Linked DNA regions of Caenorhabditis elegans. The protein of the gene in region 1 purifies or fractionates together with the protein of each later gene. This does not show direct contact. Each region holds a gene or a part of one and is shown on either strand. Other genes may lie near its edges.

Region 1 (4,736 bases):
TTCCATGAAACTCAAGTTACAAAATTACATTTTTTGTTCCAAACCATTCTAACCAAGGTACTAGAGACAATAATTTATGTTTTTGTTGCAATCGATATGTGATAGGGGAGTATATATAGTTCATTGAAAACATTAAATGATTTAACAGTGAAGTTTAGCACTTCTCCTCGATGATGGCTTCCTTGACAAGCATAAGGGTTGGAACTTCGGTTCCATCAACATCTCTGTACTCGATGATGGCGACTTGACCGTTCTCAGCTCCCTCAGCGGCTCTCTCTCCAATGAAGAAGGCGAGGTTCTTGAAGCGATCCTTGGCGAGAAGGCTGACAACCCATCCTTGAATCTTCTTCTTGAAGGCATCGACATCAGCCTTATCACGGTTGTTCTTCTCCATGTGGTCGATGACGTTCTTCATGAATTTCTTGATGTATGCCTTGAACATACTGGCATCCTCGTAGCAGTTCATCTCAACGAGCTTGTGGTTAAGGACAATATCGATACCACGCTCGACGTGCTCGTCAGATCCATCATCCTCGGCTCCTTCCTCAGCAGATGGGTTGGATCCAGCCAAAACGATCTCTCCTTCCTTGCGGACAACGTGCTTTCCCTTGAATTCGTAAACAAGATCATCAACCAACTTCATTGGGAAGGAGTCGGACGAGAGCTCATCATCTGAAATTGTTCGACAATCATTATCAATCTATAAACAAACAGCATCACATCTACGGCAAAGTTCACAGAACAAAATTTGATCGTCATCCATTTACCACACGTAACTCGCCAATTTGACACCCATGACTATACAAATTAGGGCAACAATGAATTCACAGCAAAACGCAGCGAACTCATGAAGCGATCTAAAATGCACAATCACAGTCAAACTAGCTTAAGGAGTGTGGAAAACTTCTTCAGAAAAAGAAATCTTACCGGTGAAAATATCCTTGTAGATCAGCATTTTTGAAGGATGGGGCCAGTAACTGAAATTACGAGATTAAAAATTCAAACAAGAAACAAAAAAATAGAGATATAGTTAAGTGTTCGATAACACCACAAAGAAAAGTAATTAAAAACGCTTTTTTTGGAGATAACATTTCATTAACAACAAATTCAGAACAACTTGTGGATTTAGTCGAAGAGACCGAATCCCATGTCGTCGTCGGATTCCTCCTTTGGCTCTTCCTTCTTGGCGGCTGGAGCAGCAGCAGCTGGGGCAGCGGCGGCAGCTGGAGCAGCAGCAGCGAACTTGCTTGGGTCGGCAATGAAGGCCTTGATGGTCTCGGCCTCCTTGAAGGAGACATCGGTGACGGCAGCAACTCCCAACATGTTTTGAAGTCCGTTGGCCAAAGAGTGGGCGACGGAAGCGAGAGTTGGGTAGTTGACGGCCAACGAGACGGAAGCGACATTGCGAACTCCAGAAAGGAAACGCTTGCGGAGCTCCTCGGTGGTCATGTCCAAAACTTCTGGAGTGTAGAGGGTTCCATCATCGTAAACTTGGCGAACGACCAATCCATATGAGAACGGAGTAACTCCCAACATGTTGAGAAGAGCAGATTCGGAAGCTCCGACCTTATCTCCTTCCTTGATGAGATGGACCTAAAATGAAAACATTACAATATACTATTAAAAATGAAAACTAACGTCGTTCAAGATTTCGATGGTACCTCTGGCGATCTTGGTTGGGATCTGAAGAGCCTGGAAGAAAGAGGTCTTTTCTGGTCCCATTCCAGTGTTCTGTGGTGGAAGCTTGACGTCGCATGGAGCGATGGCACCAGCCTTGGCTGGGGCTCCTTTACGGTTTTCCAAAAGCTTGGAGCGGATTTCTCCGAGATCTTCCTTGGTGAAAACGAATCCGACGTTCTCGACGATGTGTGGCAACAACTTCTCAAGGGATGGATTCTTTCCGAGGTGTCCACGAAGAGCCTTACGGATCATGGTGTTCTTTCCCATAAGGATCTCAGCATGTCCTGAAAATTACGATTTAAAGGAATTGAGAATATTAAAAATAGTAACCTCTCATGGCTTGACGAATCTCTTGCATTTGCTTGGATCCAACGTTGTCAACGCCGACGAGAAGGCATTTTGGGTATTCCTCGAAAAGCTCGACAAGCTTGGTGAAGTAGTTAGCCTTCCAAGTAGATCTGTCTTCCCTAACCATCTTGGTGAATTAAGGATCGCGTGCGGTTACGTTTTAAAGACTGAAAAAATAAATTATATTAAAACTGAGGTCTGAAAATGTACAATTTTGAAAATCGGTGGTTTTAGTGCAACAGAATTGAACGGATTCACATTTTTGAATATAAATTAATCAAATTTTGAAAAAATCGATCACATTTTCAACAAGGAAAAGGAAAAACAGTGAAAAAATTTTAGGAACACTGAATGTTTCGCCTCTCAACAACAGAAAATGTGTTTCGTCACGAGACCCTCAAGGCGGCAGCAGCCATGCGCCTTTAACTTTTCTCGTAAATCGACACCAGAATTATCATTAATTTTGTTGAAAGTGGAGGGAAAACCTCCAAATCATGATATTTCTAAATAAAAAACAGAGAAATTATTGATTAATTTCAACACCAATTAAAATATTCGAGTCCGGTGATGTCAAAATCAGAAAATCGGTGTATATACTTCTACATTTAATCAGTTTTCTTTTTAGAATGATTTCGCTCGTCGCCGAGCTCGGTTCTAATATAAATTTTTTTGAATACTGTAACTCCTGGTTGGGAATATTAGATATGATCATTTATAAGGGTGCGGACGTATTGAATGTGTGGCGCTTTCAAAAATGTATAAAAGAACGACAAATAATTTATTGAAATAGCTGAACATCGCAAATAAAGTTACTTTACACCATAAGAAACAAGAGACAAAAAACCAGGAAAGAATAATTTCTTCAAAGCGATGTGATAACTTGATCGAGCTCTTCGTTCGACACTCTTGTGAATTCTCCGATTGGACGCCCCTTCGCGTCAACTGTTGGTTTGATAACAACGACTTCGACATTGGCGGAGTTCAGTTTCTCTTCCATCACCTGCTTGAGAATGGCCAATGCCATCTTGAGTCCTTCCTTGATAGTCAGAGCCTGAAATAAAATACATTTTCCTGTATAACCATATTTGACGAAATTACATCATGATATTGCTCCTTGAGATTCTGCTCAGCTCCATCGCTAGCTGCACCGATCGATTTAGCCTTACAATCGATGAAAGTTCCAGATGGATCGAGATGGAACAGTTTGGCTCCTTCTTGGTCTACACCAGCGAACAGCATTGCTACACCAAATGGACGAGACATTGATGCTTTGACGTCGTCGTCTCCAAACTGAAGAGCTAGATTGGCGACCGACTGAGTGACGTCTTCCACGCGAATTTTGCGGTTATAAGTGAACCAGAAATTTTGAGCCTCGATCTGTGCCCGTTCGACCAGAGTGCGCGAGTCGGCAATCAAACCTGCGAATGTGACGCCTGAAACAATTCTTATAAATTAAGATGATAAACAGTTCACAGAACTAACCAATATGTTGGTCGACCTTGCTGATTTTCTCGATCGCGTCATTGACCATCAGCTTCGATGTCGATCTTTTCTCAGCAGCGAGAAGAACACCTTCGCTCGTCTTGATTCCAATGCTTGTAGATCCGAGTTTGACGGCCTCAATAGCGTATTCCACTTGGAACAAACGCCCTTCTGGAGAAAAAGTGTTGACTCCACGATCGTACTCGCTGCGAGTGAGGAACATGACTGGCTGAAATGTAAATAAATTATATTCGAAGCAACATTGGACATATTGAAGCACAAAAAAATGGAAGAGGTGGGATAGTCGTCGCGAGTAAGAATGAAAAAGTTAAGAAGAAGAGAGCGAAAGGGCGCCAATGAGATTGCGAAGTCATCATCGCGTCGAGACCCAGTAAGCGATTAAAAGAAAGCGCCTTTAAAAACCTTTTACTACTGTAATTTCTGAAATCAATTTTTAAAATAAACGTTTTAGAAAAACACAAAAACAAGCTGAAAATAGGAAGTAACAGGTTGCAGTGAGATGCTGACAATTCGCGGCGTGCGCGTCGCGGTGTCTGCGTCTCTCGTGTTGGCGCGAAAGGCAGAATTTCGAAATGAAATTTTTAAAGAAAGTTTTATGATGAATATTAAATAGTTGGAATCAAAAGTAATTTGGGAATATGAAACTATTCAACACGTGAGATTTCCAATAACGTATCAAAGAGGGAAAATGAATATGAGACTCGCTTACTAATAGATTTTTCGTCTAGCTATATTTAACGCTAAAAGCTTTTAAAAAGCTCTATAGGAAAATAATCAAAGTGTCGGGAAATGTAAGTTCTTTGAATTGAATGGTTCTCATGTTTTTTTGTTGTATTTACAAAAATAACCAGTTAATTAATAATTATTTGTCAACATTTTTATATCCGCACCCGATAAAATCGAGAGAAATGAACGTTCATGAACAAATCTTTGCAAAAAAATGCAACAGAATGTGGAAACAGTGAAAATAAAACAGTTGTCCTGATAGTGAGAATCCCCGCGGCACCAATGACGAAGTTCGGAACAATTATATAGAAACTCTTCAATTCATGTTTATTATCCAAGTTTTTGTTTTGTGATTTAGTATATTATTCTAATTTGTGACACATTTATAACTGCTCAGAAGAGCAGGCCACTACGGCTCCAAAATTCATTGGCTCCGTGCGGTCATCAAGTCATTAGAGGACTGCTTCACGCTCGCGACC
Region 2 (3,496 bases), 3.8 Mb from region 1:
TCCTTTGTCTGTAAGACTTTGGAGCTCCTAGATTGTCCTGGAATGATTTTCTTTCCGTTAGAGGCCAGTTACAATAGTTTCTAGTAAAGTTCAACAATTTTATTCCTGAAAGACTAATTCAGTTTAAATTTAACAGTTATTGGAATTTTAATTCAAATACTTTCGCAGTATTGAATCCGTAATGTTCCTTAATGACGTATCCTGGAAGTGAAAACTCGGCCAATTGATTTTTGGTGAACTTCGTTTTGTATCTGTAAACCGAATTTATGAGGTTATGAGAAACATTTTCTATTTGAAAATGAAATTGCAAAGTATTCACCGTTGCAAGTATTCGGATTCGGCTAGTGGATGACGATCGGGGTCACCAACAAGTACTCTGACCATATGTGCATCTTGAATTCTGTAGAATTTAATTATATGTTTTTGCACCAATTTTGAGATATTCCTACTTTTTAAGCCACGAAAAAAGAAGTTCAGCAAAGTCAGAATCGTAAAACATGTCACCTAGGAGAATGAATTTTCTGATATTTTTGGAGTCAGTGAAAAATTGAGTGGACATTCTTTCATTTTTATCATCTAAAAAATTGATCGAAGAGTATTGAATCTTTGAATCTCTTAAATTGTTCAGATGGAAATTGAGCTTCGTGGATAGAAGTGCATCTGAAATAAGTAGCTCATTCTACACTGATTAACTTCAATCTCAAAAACAAACATCTATCAATGTCGTTTGCTAGAATCTTCTTCGCTCCACAAATAGAAGCAGATATCGAGGCTGAACCACAGCCGGCGCCGAAGTCGACAATTTCTGATCCTTGAAACAAAGGTTTATTATCAAGAATGAACCTTGATAGGCCTTGGCCGCCAGGCCAATAGAATGCCCAATAGGGATCTGGAAGAGGACAAGCATCGGGAGTGCTCATCCACAGTGGACTAGCAATTGTAATAAGATGAAGATTGATTTCTGGAGTTAGACTTTCATTGCTAACTATTGTATTTCGAATCATCCATTTCGCAGCAGCATTTAGGCTGGGCTTCAACATGATCACTCTTTGATTGCTAAATGTAAATTCCGGATTGTTTGTTCGAGACTCAAAAATTAGATAAATTCATATAACGGCATTTTCCCCAAAGTTTCAAACAATTCTACATCGCGACTTTCGAGCAAATTTTTTTAAATCGTTCATTGAATGACGAATAACAACTTTAACAACACATTTAGTCGAAGAGACCGAAGCCCATGTCGTCGTCGGATTCCTCCTTTGGCTCCTCCTTCTTCTTCTCTTCGGCTGAAACATTTGAATTTAAAAAAAATAGGGATCTTCTGCGTACCCAGATAAAAAATTACTACTGCGGAGCACATAGTATTCAAAATCTCTTACTTGCTTAAATTTTTAAGTGACTCACGCCACCTGTACTGCTTCGAAATTTTAAATCGTGCTCCGCAATGGATTATTTTTAAATGTGGGTCATAATTAGTGAAACAAAACTTGCCTTTTGGTGCGGCTCCTCCTGATGGGGCGGCAGCAGCTGGGGCAGATCCGCCTGATGGGACCGAGCTGAGCTTGACCTTGCCCTGGGCGATAACCTCGGAGATAGTCTTTCCCTTGAGGGCATCGACGACGGAGTTGGCGTTCTCCATGTCGCAGTCGAGACCTCCGGCTTCTGCAATATAAGTATTTATATCGGAAAAACGTGATATAAAACTTACCGAGGACCTTAAGGACATCTTGTGCAGATGGGGAGGCATTTCCACCGAGGGTGGCGAGAAGATAAGCTCCCAAGTACTTCATGGCTGAAAATATAAGTTTAACAGGTCCAAAATTTTGATAAGAAAACAAAATAAGTTGTGAATAAACGTGTTCAGATAAAGAAGCTAGAAAAATAAGTTTGTAAAAAACTATTTATTTATTTTATCAAAAAGTTCCAATCAAAAGAAAAAATAAACCACTCCGACAAATTCGCGATGGAAGATAAATTCACTATGACTTCAGAAAACATTAATTCGTTATTTTCTGAACAAATTTTAAAGCACTATCATTTTAAACAAATTAATTTTTAAAAAAGGTGTAACAAACGGCCATTTTCAGTTAAAAACTCGAAAAAAGAGGCAAAAAATTTAGGATTTCATGAGTTTCGAAGGAGAAAAGAGAGTGCAGACACAGAAGTCTATCCGAGACGCCAGTTCGGGTACGGTATCACTCGTTTCACGTGTGCGATATTTTAATAATTGACCAATTTACGCAAATTGGCTCGATTTTCAGCCATTTTCAGCAAAGAGCACTTTCACGTCAGTTCTACTGTCTGATGCTTTATAAAAATTTGATAACTTAATACACTGCATTAAAGCATCATCTAAAAGTGAAGAATTCCGTTATCGATTTTTGAAGTCGAATCTGTAATGTAATTTACAATTTCAAAAGTTCCATATTTCATAGCTACATCTTTCTTTTATTAGTCTGTTATGTTGATATCTGCTTTTAAAAAAGCCTGAATGATTGCAGACATTGAGTAATCGGTTGAGTATCAAATCGACCGCGACGCGGTGGTGCTGCGTCGCGGTCGCGTTACGACCGTGAGTGTCCGCCGTTCTTTCGGAACCGCCGAACTGCCATGCGCAAACTACGTCATCAGGATAGTTTCTGATTTTCAGATATTCCATTTTTGACTTTTGGGTGCAAGAAGAACAGCTTTTCGACGTCCCTATCGCATTTCTCTACCAAAACTCCGCCCCATTATTGATTTTCCTTGCACTTTTCCCTTCAGGCAATTCAAATTTCGCGCCGTAGAAAACTAAAATACTTATCAGTTTTGGCTTAAATTTCAAAAAACTTTTTACAGTAAAGGAGAAACGAACTATTTATAATTCCCCAAGACTATATTTGTTAGAAAAATCTTCTTCGTTCAAAAGTTCTCTTAAGTAGATATCAAGTCGTTATAAATTGATTTTTATGCTATTTTGATTAAAATTCTCTGACTATGGTTTTTCGAATAATCTGATAATTGGTCCGACGAATTCAATTGTTATATTTGCAGAAAATTTCAGAAAAAATAGTTGGCGCTGAATGGTCGTGTCGGTCGATGCGGGGAGCAGCGTCTGCCTCAGCACATACTTCTTCTGCGGCTTCCTCAACGTGGTCCACAATTCCTCACTCACGTACACCGCCGCTTCAATCTAGTAAGCTTTGATTTAAAAATTGCAAAATGCACGTTAAATTTTCAAAAAAATTTCCTGAAAAACGAATTTTTGCTTTTTTTTGGATGAATTAATTTACTTCTCAAGATTAATTAGAATTTTTGAGATTTGCAATCTTAGATGTCGTGTAATTATATCAGACTTGCCGCTCAGCCATTTTATAAATTTCCAGACATCGAAAAGGTGGGAGATATTGTGCGACCGTCTTCAGCGACCGCACTGCTCTCCTCTCTGTCCACCTCATCGTCAGGCATCGGTGAGTCTCTTCGGAGTCCCAGTGCCGAGATATCAATGACTTCAGAA

The links. Proteins that work in one complex are often made in the same cells at the same time.
Region 2: the proteins of rplp-0 (region 1) and rplp-2.1 purify together in Caenorhabditis elegans (affinity purification with mass spectrometry; 2 studies listed by BioGRID, with this or other methods). This does not show direct contact.

The regions. Positions count from the first base shown.
Region 1 is NC_003279.8:10,565,353-10,570,088, reverse strand, and holds rplp-0 (Large ribosomal subunit protein uL10), read right to left. Parts: upstream 2,196-4,736; 5' UTR 2,156-2,195; coding exon 2,011-2,155; intron 1,965-2,010; coding exon 1,639-1,964; intron 1,594-1,638; coding exon 1,126-1,593; 3' UTR 1,072-1,125; downstream 1-1,071. Other genes in the region: F25H2.12 (Methyltransferase domain-containing protein), read right to left, coding at 1-6; tct-1 (Translationally-controlled tumor protein homolog), read right to left, coding at 155-672, 928-955; pas-5 (Proteasome subunit alpha type-5), read right to left, coding at 2,891-3,079, 3,127-3,461, 3,511-3,733.
Region 2 is NC_003279.8:6,787,947-6,791,442, forward strand, and holds rplp-2.1 (Large ribosomal subunit protein P2), read right to left. Parts: upstream 1,793-3,496; 5' UTR 1,791-1,792; coding exon 1,709-1,790; intron 1,663-1,708; coding exon 1,492-1,662; intron 1,287-1,491; coding exon 1,216-1,286; 3' UTR 1,093-1,215; downstream 1-1,092. Other genes in the region: etfm-1 (Electron transfer flavoprotein beta subunit lysine methyltransferase homolog), read right to left, coding at 137-251, 320-400, 450-660, 713-1,040; pqn-20 (Prion-like-(Q/N-rich)-domain-bearing protein), read left to right, coding at 3,079-3,175, 3,366-3,449, 3,495-3,496.